Linked DNA regions of Bombyx mori. The protein of the gene in region 3 binds, or shares a complex with, the protein of the main gene of each other region. Links are inferred from orthologs where the notes say so. Each region holds a gene or a part of one and is shown on either strand. Other genes may lie near its edges.

The links. Proteins that work in one complex are often made in the same cells at the same time.
Region 1: GATOR2 complex protein WDR59 (region 3) and GATOR complex protein NPRL3 share a complex: the UniProt entries of both Drosophila melanogaster proteins name them as parts of the GATOR complex. The link is inferred for Bombyx mori from reciprocal best matches to the Drosophila melanogaster genes Wdr59 and Nprl3.
Region 2: GATOR2 complex protein WDR59 (region 3) and sec13-like protein share a complex: the UniProt entries of both Drosophila melanogaster proteins name them as parts of the GATOR complex. The link is inferred for Bombyx mori from reciprocal best matches to the Drosophila melanogaster genes Wdr59 and Nup44A.

What each region holds. Positions count from the first base shown.
Region 1 is NC_085124.1:9,506,880-9,510,379, forward strand, and holds part of GATOR complex protein NPRL3, read right to left. Parts: intron 2,899-3,500; coding exon 2,682-2,898; intron 2,193-2,681; coding exon 2,038-2,192; intron 1,692-2,037; coding exon 1,560-1,691; intron 787-1,559; coding exon 622-786; intron 89-621; coding exon 1-88. UniProt on the Drosophila melanogaster protein: An essential component of the GATOR subcomplex GATOR1 which functions as an inhibitor of the amino acid-sensing branch of the TORC1 signaling pathway.
Region 2 is NC_085125.1:13,435,909-13,439,573, forward strand, and holds the end of sec13-like protein, read left to right. Parts: intron 1-355; coding exon 356-514; intron 515-1,780; coding exon 1,781-1,941; intron 1,942-2,993; coding exon 2,994-3,136; 3' UTR 3,137-3,165; downstream 3,166-3,665. UniProt on the Drosophila melanogaster protein: Probable component of the nuclear pore complex (NPC). Involved in maintaining the localization of another nucleoporin Mgtor to the nuclear envelope of early meiotic female germline cells.
Region 3 is NC_085110.1:13,179,662-13,183,161, forward strand, and holds part of GATOR2 complex protein WDR59, read left to right. Parts: coding exon 1-100; intron 101-921; coding exon 922-1,290; intron 1,291-2,481; coding exon 2,482-2,635; intron 2,636-3,189; coding exon 3,190-3,373; intron 3,374-3,500. UniProt on the Drosophila melanogaster protein: A component of the GATOR complex, which functions as a regulator of the amino acid-sensing branch of the mTORC1 signaling pathway.

The DNA of each region.
Region 1 (3,500 bases), on a different chromosome or scaffold from region 3:
GGGCCAGCCGCGCCGAGCCCCCGCACCCGCCGCCCGCGCTCCGCGATATGTACCACAGCGGAGCCGGCAGAGAGAACTCACTGAGCATCTGCAAATACAGAAATAACGTAAATAAAATGACTAAACACAGATATTTTTTTAAATGTAATAATAATAGTAGGTAATTAATTGGTAGGCAGCGGCTTGGCTCTGTCCCTGACATTGCTAAAGTTCATGGGCGACGTTAACCACTCACAATCAAACAGACAAAGAGCCAACAACTTGTTCATCACACAATGTTTGCCCGATGTGGGAATAGAACCCACGACCCTCAGCGCAACAGTCAGGACCACTAACCACTGCACCACCGAGTCAGTCAGTTAAACTTTCTTTCGTTTTAGTAGCAATTGTCGAGGTTTATTGTCATTATTTTTTGGGATATTCAGTTTTTAAAATTCCGTTTAAAAATTAAAATCGAAATCTAAAATCGATAATCGAAAATCTTGTCTGTGATTATTGTCAATTTTCATCATTATAGGGTGAGCGAGCATAAGTAAGTTTCTATTGAACAATTATATTTTTGTGATACTTTAATTCCTTTATAAATTATAGTGCGTAAAGAAAATAATGAATGTCTCATACTTGCAATAAACATAGCCCAGGAAACTCCTTGGCGAATTCATCGACAAGAGGTGAATGTATGTGAATATTCGCGCCGGGGGCCACAACGTATACATTCCCTTCGCACAATGGATAGATCACCGTCGCTTTAGCCCAATACACTAAATGTCCAGTTAGTTGAGAGACCTAGAATAATTCGAAAAACATTTTACACAATTAAACCTGAAACGAAATATTATTGTCGCTCATAGAGCTAGCTTAGTTTGGTTTACTTTTTTATTTAAAGATTGGTATTCATTGTCCCTTTAAATACTACGCAAATATTATTTTAGGGTACAGAACAGTTTAAAAAATTTAATTTAAAGTTTTAATATGTAAGTGATAGAAATTGAAGTGAAGGGTTGTAAAAGGTAATTAATTTTGGTTTTTATTTTTGTACAGGTATGAACGGCATCGATTTTATGACCCACTTGATACTGAGTAGTCACCATTGTCGTTCATGGACATCAGCAACGGTACAGACACCACCAAGCCATTACCGACCAGCCATGTTTATATTTAAGCCTTGAAGAAGGCCGTATCATATCACTATGTGATTATCATTTTTTACCAATCACTTTGCTTTTAAGTACTCAAAACACGAACCGCTAATTGTGCTTATGCATCCTTTTATATCAATTATAATTATTTTATTCCGAGAGTATTCATTGAAACATACAAATGACATGTACACAATATGTATGTTAATTACTAGATAAGACTAGTTTAGTTAGAGTAAATAGTCACAGAACCCTGTTATATGTATACATTATTGATTTGATTATTGATTATAAAATAATGAGAAATTTAGCTCATATTGAATTTCTTAAACCAACTTGCTTTTTAGACTTCCTTTTAATCTAAAAGAACCTTAAAAATAATAAAATTTTGACTTATTTATGGATTTATACTGTTTATACCTGTTTGAATGTCAGATCCGCTTCTATGGCCAGTGTTTGAAGACTTTTTAGAGGGCTATATAGTTTAATAAGTCGCAGCAATGCAGAGCTGCCATCCAGTGGTATCGACGCCAACAAATCATTTGGATTCACCTTAAAGTAAATTAACAAAACAATTCACTAGTACAAGGATACAGTTCTTATATTAGAAACGTCAAATGTAGTAACGGAAAACATTATTGAGAAGAGTATTAAGCAGTAGGCAGCGGCTTGGCTCTGCCCCTGGCATTACTAAATTCCATGGGCGACGGTAGCCACTCACCATCAGGTGGTCTGTATGCCCGTCTGCCTACAAGGGCAATAAAATAAATAAAAAACTTGTGTTCTACTATTTTGATAATATTCTCATTTTAATTTGTTGAAGTCACTTTTCTTTTATGTTTAAAATTTTCAATATTCATAAACACTAAAAAAGTTGTATGTATATTTGATTACTTACAAGTAGTAGCATGCCGTGGTATGGCCTCAGTTTTTGCAAACATTTGTCTATTGTTTCCGGTTCTATTATCAATCCTCTGTTGTGAATTTGATGGGCTTTGTGGGGCAAACAGAAGGATAGAAGCACCCATTTATTTACACGTACTTGAACTATGCCTGAAAATTAAAGCAAAAGCTAATTTCATATCTAAATTGTTTTTGTATTTAAACCAAGTTATCAGAATCACTTGTTACTAATTAGGTATGATGTTGTCGTGACTTAAATGGAAAGGGCGTCTGGTGTACTTATATAGTGCGACTTGACCATTATGGTGTGCAAATTACACAGACAGATATTAATCGTTGCAATACGCACATAACATGTTCTGATGAGTCTGTGCGGTTACCAGCACCCTGCTTTTATTTGCTGCAAAGCCATAATTAATTTCGGTTCGAAGAGAAGACCAGCTGTTATACTATACATATAGTCGAGACATGTCTCATATCATAAAAGCGAGGGTATTTCAAGGGCAACATTCAGACTGTGAAGTTTTTCAATTCCAGTAACCACTTAATACCATGTAGGCCTAGTACAAAAGTTTATTGTACTAGGCCCACCAGTAAAATTTAGTCTAGATATGTTATATTTTAAGAAAAGTGTTTAACCTGTGCTACTTAGTTCCTCAAAGACAGATTTCATGGACCTAGCTAATGAACTCCTTTGTAATATTAAGTGGTAGGCAGACATTGGGCCTCCCTCAAGGCCATTATCTACACTATATGTTGTAGAACTAACAGAATGTCGGAGATTCTCTTCCTCTTCTTCATTATCACCATTAATTTCACTGTCGTTCCTCTCATTCACTTCATCATGAGCAGCTAGCTGTAAAAATATGAAAAAAAAAATTTTTATAGCTTCAGTTGGTGGACGAGCCCACGGTCCACCTGGTGTTAAGAGGTTACCGGAGCTCATAGACATCTACAACGTAAATAAAGCCATATATTGAGTACGAAAGGTCTGATTTTACAGTACAATAGCTACCCCACCCTTCAAACCGAAATGCATTACTGCTTCACGGTAAAAATAGGCAGGGTGGTGATACCTACCCGTGCGGACTCACAAGACGTCCTACCACCAGTAATTACGCAAGTTATAATATTTGGGGTTTGATTTTTATTACACAATGTTATTCCTTCACTGTAGTAGTCAATCGTAAAGATTTGTTAAGTACGTATATCATTAGAAAAATTGGTACTTGCCTGCGGTATTCGAAGACCTTCTTATCCTTTAGGCCACGACAACTTCAAAAATGCAACAACGAAACAAAATCTTTTTTGTCTCCACAACGCTGGGTCGGCAAAGAGAATGGTTCTATTCAATTCTCTTCTATCAGTCCTCATCTCAACACTCACTCCGTTCCTCTCTCTCTCTCTCTCTCTCATATCTTCCATTCACACACTCCATTCATGTCTTCTTCGTTCGAC
Region 2 (3,665 bases), on a different chromosome or scaffold from region 3:
CAGCCCACTGAGTTTCTCGCCGGATCTTCTCAGTGGGTCGCGTTTCCGATCCGGTGGTAGATTCTGCGAAGCACGGCTCTTGCTAGGGTTCGTGTTAGCAACGTCATCAGGTTTCAGCCCCGTGAGCTCACCTACTAGTTAAGGCGAAGCTGATATAGCCTCTCAAGGCTATCAGATTAGGTGGGAAAAAATAAATAAATATGCAGGCTTATCTTGAAAATGTCGTAAGCCAGATTCAGGCATCTAGCAAATATCTTGTGTTCTGTGATGGCTACCCGCCACAATGGTACCGCTGTGTACGTAATAAAAACTCTTATGAAGCTAAACAAAAAAAATTAATTAAATTTGTGTTCAGATACAGTGAAACGTCTCGTCGTTGGACGCGAACGGACTGTCTGTCATCCGTCCAGGAGCCGGTCAACGACCTCGCCTTCGCTCCGAACCTCGGCCGCTCGTTCCATCTCCTCGCCGTAGCCGCCAAGGACCTGAGAATCATTAAAATCGAACCACTTTCGTGAGTACTTTATTATCTTGTCATTGACATGACTACAGATGATGCAAAGTGTAAAATTTCCGTTAAAATTCACAGAAGGGCCGGTAAGCATATCGACGCTTGAAAGGCAAACGTGACTAAGCGACAATAACTGCTTTGTACATAAATGATAGGCAATAACCGTATTCAATGCGCAAAAAATATATATTACTAGGTCTATTAAAATAATTTCAATCCTACAGCTAGATTCGTTAAAATAGATTTTTTTTCAGGTATTTCAACTTTAAATTAGTCTACTGTAAAGTTCACGCATTGTCGCTTAGTCATGTTTGCCTTTCAAGCGTCGATATGATGATAAGGTACCGTTTGAAAAATATGGTTCATTTCTGCGGCACTATAAACAGAACACCAGCCCGATGGTCAGATCTGGTTCAGAAAGTGGTTGGTGGTAGTGAGAAAGAGAGAGAGAGAAAGAGAGAGAGAGAAAGAGAGAGAGAGAAAGAGAGAGAGAGAAAGAGAGAGAGAGAAAGAGAGAGAGAGAAAGAGAGAGAGAGAAAGAGAGAGAGAGAAAGAGAGAGAGAGAAAGAGAGAGAGAAAGAGAGAGCGAGAAAGAGAGAGAGAGAGAAAGAGAGAGAGAGAAAGAGAGAGAGAGAAAGAGAGAGAGAGAAAGAGAGAGAAAGAGAGAGAGAGAATACACTTTATTGCACACCAAAACACAATTTACATTAAAAAACGGTCAAAAAGCAGATAGATTTGTAACAATAGGCTAAAATCGATCTCTTCGAGACAATCGTTTAACTTAGAGAAATTCTGGAAAATATAAAAATATAGCAGGTATGTTAGTCTATAACCATGCGGTCCATGTCATCTACGACCAAACACTATGGAGGAAAGTAACATGTGGTCACGATCTTTAGCGGTGAGGGAACGATGAAGACAGAATAAATATTGCATTACTTTTGAGCACTTTTTTTATTGCATAGATAGGTGGACGAGCTCACAGCCCACCTGGGGTTAAGTAGTTACCGGAGCCCATAGACATCTACAACGTAAATGCGCCACCCACCTTGAGATATAAGTTCTAAGGTCTCAAGTATAGTTACAGCGGCTGCCCCACACTTCAAACCGAAACGCATTACTGCTTCACGACAGAAATAGGCGGAGTGGTGGTACCTACCCGTGCGGACTCACAAGAGGTCCTACCACCAGTAAAACTTCATTACGTGTATTCTATTTAGTTTGCATTCGTTGGAATATAACATTTAAATTATTATTGTGACGTCACAGTGAATCGTCTATCTCCGCGAACGGTTTGGGCGTGCGGTTCAAGAGTGAAGTAATGGCGGCCTTCGACGAGCACTACTCGTGCGTGTGGAGGGTGTCGTGGAACCCCACCGGGACTCTGCTGGCCTCGTCGGGGGACGACAGCTGCGTCAGACTATGGAATAGTAAGGAATGATAATAACCATGTCAATTGTTCAGTATAATTAAATTTTACTCGATTTCATATCTATTCCAGATGTATAGTTTCCTAAGATATATTCTTCGATCATCGAATGTAGAGTTGTAAACGAATGGTATGATATCAAGTAGTTTTTAAGGATGGGACAACCATTGCAATACAATTGAGAGTTAGACCTCCTTGGGTCAATAAGTGAAATGTTCACTTTGAACTTCTTTGTCTACGGTATGACTCACTGACATATGGCATTGTTTGAGATGATTCCGTTGTATGCCATAGTCAGAGTACATCCCTATTGAGTTGCCGGAATTCATTCTTGATTCTTTTGATGTATTTTCAAATGAGGTGTGTGAAAGCAGTTCTGTGCTGAAGGTTGCGGCTTAGCTGTGCCGTTATTTAACCCACAGACACAGCCCACTGAGTTTCTCGCCGGATCTTCTCAGTGGGTCGCGTTTCCGATCCGGTGGTAGATGCTGCGAGGCACGGCTCTTGCAAGGGTTCGTGTTAGCAACGTCGTCAGGTTTGAGCCCCGTGAGCTCACCTACTAGTTAAGGTTACGCTGAAATAGCCTCTCAAGGCTCTCAGCTTAGGTAGGAAAAAAAAGATTCGTGGTGTCGTGGGACACCGGATAGGAACGAAGTTCCTTATTATAAAAATATTAATTTTAAGTTCTATTCGAGGTATAAAGAAAATAAAACTGGAGGTTTCGCAACAACCCACGGTCATTCGGTAACGTGCGAACTTATTGTGGTACACTTCATTCACGGTTGTTTGTATAAGAGTTAGTGTATTGCGCAAACGAATGCTCTCAGATTGTGGTCAATTAATGACTACAAAAATTGTTATTTTTTGTACGTTATTACAAAGTTAAGTCGTACACTGTGTGCATTACTAATAAAAATCTTACGTTACGGACGTTTTTTCCCGGTTAGGGTACCCTTCCGCATCGTCCCATAATGAAGTTCGTTCCAAAAAAAAAAGCCGTTATTATTACTGATGTGTTGGGACTGGCCAAGTAACGGTTATTGGTTTTTACAGTGCAATACTTGAATCAGTGGAAGTGCGTGGCCGTGTTCAAGAATGAGACGGTGGGCGGAGACAGCGCGCCCGCCGCCCGCGCGCACACCGCCTACACGCGCCTCGCCGCCATGGCCAACCCCGCGCACATGCCCGTGCACTGACGCGACAAGAGGTGAGTGTCATTTTTTTTTCTCCTACCTACGCCGAAAGTTCAGTTTTCCTCCCGCTGTACAGGGAAGAAAGTGTAACTTTTCCTCTCTAGTTACTGACAAGTGCGCATGCGCGTTAGTGTCTACGTCTGCTCTCACGCACCTAAAATTCTCCGCCATTGTTGTGCTCGGGTAATTTGCAATATTGTGTTTAGTGTAAAAGTGAAATAAACAAAAGGCAATAAAATTTAATACTGAAGTATTAAACAAAGATGAGTTCATCAGACAGTTCTTATTCAATTAGTAGTAGTTTATTTAAAAATTAAAAAACAGTTAATTTTCTTTTTTTACGAGTATGGGGGGGCTCCGCCCCCCCTACCCCCTGCCAGGGCTTCGCCCCTGGACCCCGGCTCGGTACTCCACGAACTTTCGGCCTGGTAGGAGAAAAAATAGTATGAGCACCGCGGGAAAAAAGTAGGACATCTCATCCCGCGTGTTTGCAATTTTGGTGCACAATGTACTATATTTTTATTGCTTAGAT
Region 3 (3,500 bases):
GATACTGCAAAGCATTAATAGAACTGCTTATCGTAAAAAGAAAGAAGGACACAGATGTTTGTTACATTGTTTAAAAACATTAGCAAAGTCAATTGATGAGGTGAGTTTCAGAACACTTATAATTATTGTGTTTTTTTATCCAGGGTTTTCAGAAACCGTTTTTGTTTCTCTTCGGTAAATATTCTAATACACCCTGTATATACATAAACAAAGAAATAGAAGATATACAAATTATACAAATAACCATTGAACAAACTAAGCTTAGATTTTTTTAATGCTTAGATGGGTATAACATATACAACGAAAATGCCTCCACCCACCTTGAGACATGAGTTTTAAGATTTCCCAGTTTTTACAGTACAACGGCTGCCTCACCCTTCAAACCGAAACCACTGCTTCACGACAGAAACAGGTGGGGTGGTTGTCCGTGCGGACTCACAAGATGTCCTCCTACCACCAGTTATTACATATTTTTTTAATTGGCCGGTTTAATTTTATTACACGATGTTATTCCCGATGATATTATGATATTATTCACCGTGGAAGTATTTCGTGAACATTTGTCAAGTACGTATAATATTTTATTAGAAAAGTTAGTACCTGACTACGCGGGATTCGAACAGCGTTGCATCGCACCGATACGAATGCACCGGACGTCTGTGTGCTTAGTGCGAGTTTTTTAACGTTCTCGATAGCGTAAAAGTTAGCTCATAAATATGGCTCATAAGTATGGAATGGAATCGTTTGCGTACGTTTGCCGTTGGGCGCTGTTCCAACTGCATACAAAATTGGTTTAACTTTTACGCTATCGAGAACGTTAAGAAACTCGCACTAAGCACTCTTATCCTTTAGGCCACGACGTCTTCATGTTCACTGTGTGATTTCTTATCTAGTACTAAGAAATTTATTCACTTGTTTTAGATACCCGTGAAGAATGACGACACAGACTCGATGAAATCGAGTCAAAGAAGTCAGTCGGAGTGTGAGAATGCAGGCGATTCGTGTATTCCTTTCCCTCGAACATGCGGGGCTAAGTGGTGCGGTGTTAGTACGTTAGTGGTATTCAACCGTCCCCCGAACACCAGGAGGCTGTCATTGAAGCACGAGACTGGAACACCTCGGTCAATGTCATCGTTATCCTTGATGCCGGGTTTATTCAACACCGGCTACAGTTCTGTGTCGCCTCACGCCACCACGACTCCGTCGCCGACGAACCCGCCGGGCTTCCCGCAATTACATCACAAGCACCCGTCCTATTCAATCACAACGTTCTATTTTCAAGATCGATGGGTAAGTACAGTATTTTAAATGAAAGATCATGTTTGTGTGTGTGTGTGTGTTTGCAAGAACACGATTGTGTGTTTTTTGTTGATAGGTAGAAAGTATTAACCTCCCCTTTCAGAAGGAAATATCGAAAAATTGCCCGAGTAAGGTAGTGTTTGAATCAATGAATGAAAATTTGAGTTTATGTTAATAGTGTGTGTAACCAACAGTAAAATGTATTTTAGAATAATACTACCAACTGTATGACCACAAAAAAACATTGTTTAATTTATCGATGTGACACAACACTATGCTTTTTTTTTTGAAGTGAAACTTCTTTATGCGCGTTGAGAGTAAAATTTAACTCGCGACAGATTCGTTACGGCTAGAGAGAAAAGATACAATTTAGAAAGAGCGAGAGTGAGAAAATAGAGCGTCTCTCGAGCCACTCGAATGTGGAGAGTGGGAAAGGACAAAGCGAACTAGGTCGTTTCTCTTATACACAGCATTCCCTATTACAAGATAAATTTGATTTAAGGATGAAAAATGAAGAAAACCACTATACTACACACCGTAACAGAAGTTTCATTTCTTTCACGTGCACCAAGGCGCACCATTTTCTTTTTTGTTCTTCCCCGTTCAAATCGCGCGCCACACATTAGCAGATGATTTTCACCGATGGTAGAGCATATTTTATAAAGAGTTGGTATCACGTTCCTGCCTATTTCTGCAACTAAGCAATCCTGCACTTTGGTTTGATTTGTGGCGCTATCATTATATATAAGTAATACAAATGACAACTCGGTCTCATATTTCGACGTGGCTGGTTGCGTTTACATCGTCATTATACTACTTTTACTGGTGGCAGGACCTTTTGAGTCCGCACGTGTAGGTACCACCACCCTGCCTATTTCTGCCGTGAAGCAGTAATGCGTTTCGGTTCGAAGGCTGGGGCAGCCGTTGTAACTATACTTGAGACCTTAGAACTTATATGTCAAGGTTGGTGGCGCATTTACGTTGTAGATGTCTATGGGCTTCAGTAACTTAACACCAGATGGGCTGTGAGCTCGTCCACCCATCTAAGCAATAAAAAAAAAACACAAGGATTCATGTAATTACGTAACACTAGGTGGGCCGTGAGACTCATCGATGCAAAAAAAACTTTATAGAATAAGTATGTGCGGTGAAATACATTAAGACGTTTGAAGTCCGTTGCAGAAGGCACAAGGTCGCCGCGCGGGCAGCATCCGCAGTCGCGGAAGTATATCCGGGTGCTCATCGCCTAGAGTGGTACTGTATGCTGCGACAGATCTCTTCCCACTTAATCGTACTCTTGCTGAAAAATACGTAATTAATTCTGATAATCCGATCGGTAAGTCTTGATATTGGTTTTAGAAATACCCTATAGTATTGGAACCTAAATTCAGCACGAATAATTGTCACTTTAATAAATCGTCGTTATCAAAATCTGCTATGTGCGAAAACTATTTTGAATTAACAAGTAAAAACATTTTCGTATAATTTTTTATATGAAGGTAAATTTTTAAGAACTATATATATCAAATGAAAGGTATAGATAAATATTAAAGCTATAGACACATAGCAGTTTTTTTTATACGGTGATAGAGCTGTGAACTATACGAAAAGGTCAAAAAGTAAAAATCTCAATAAGTGCACATAGCAGGTTTTGGTTTAACAACGACGAAATTCATATTTTGCGAGCCGCCTTACACCCGCGACGCAGCCGACGTGTGTCTCAACTCTAATAGAGTCAGCACTATTGATATCCAGCTGAAAAAATTACCAAATGTCTAAATCATAAAGATATATTTAGTGATTTTAATTATTTCCGTAAATGATTGAATGGTATGATTTAAAAAAAAAAAACTCACTCCGATTTTTTCTTTGTTTTATGTCTTCAAACAGACATGTGCGAAACAAACGCTAAAGTGGCAACGGAAGAAGGAGAACGTGACCTCGCGCACGCCTGGTCTCTGGCCGCGCTTACCGCTAAAGCTCTGAAAGCGAAAGTTGTCGATCATCTGACTTCCAGCGAAGAAAGCATGGGCTGGGTTGGACATCCTCTGTGCTGTAATCTACTGCAATCCTTGTGAGTACCCAAAAATCGATAATATTAAAGTATAAATTATAATAGTGACATAACTTGTCCCATCCCTAGTACGATTGTCAACATAACGCTTAATACCTTAATTCTTGTGAAATGGGTGAATCGTGAC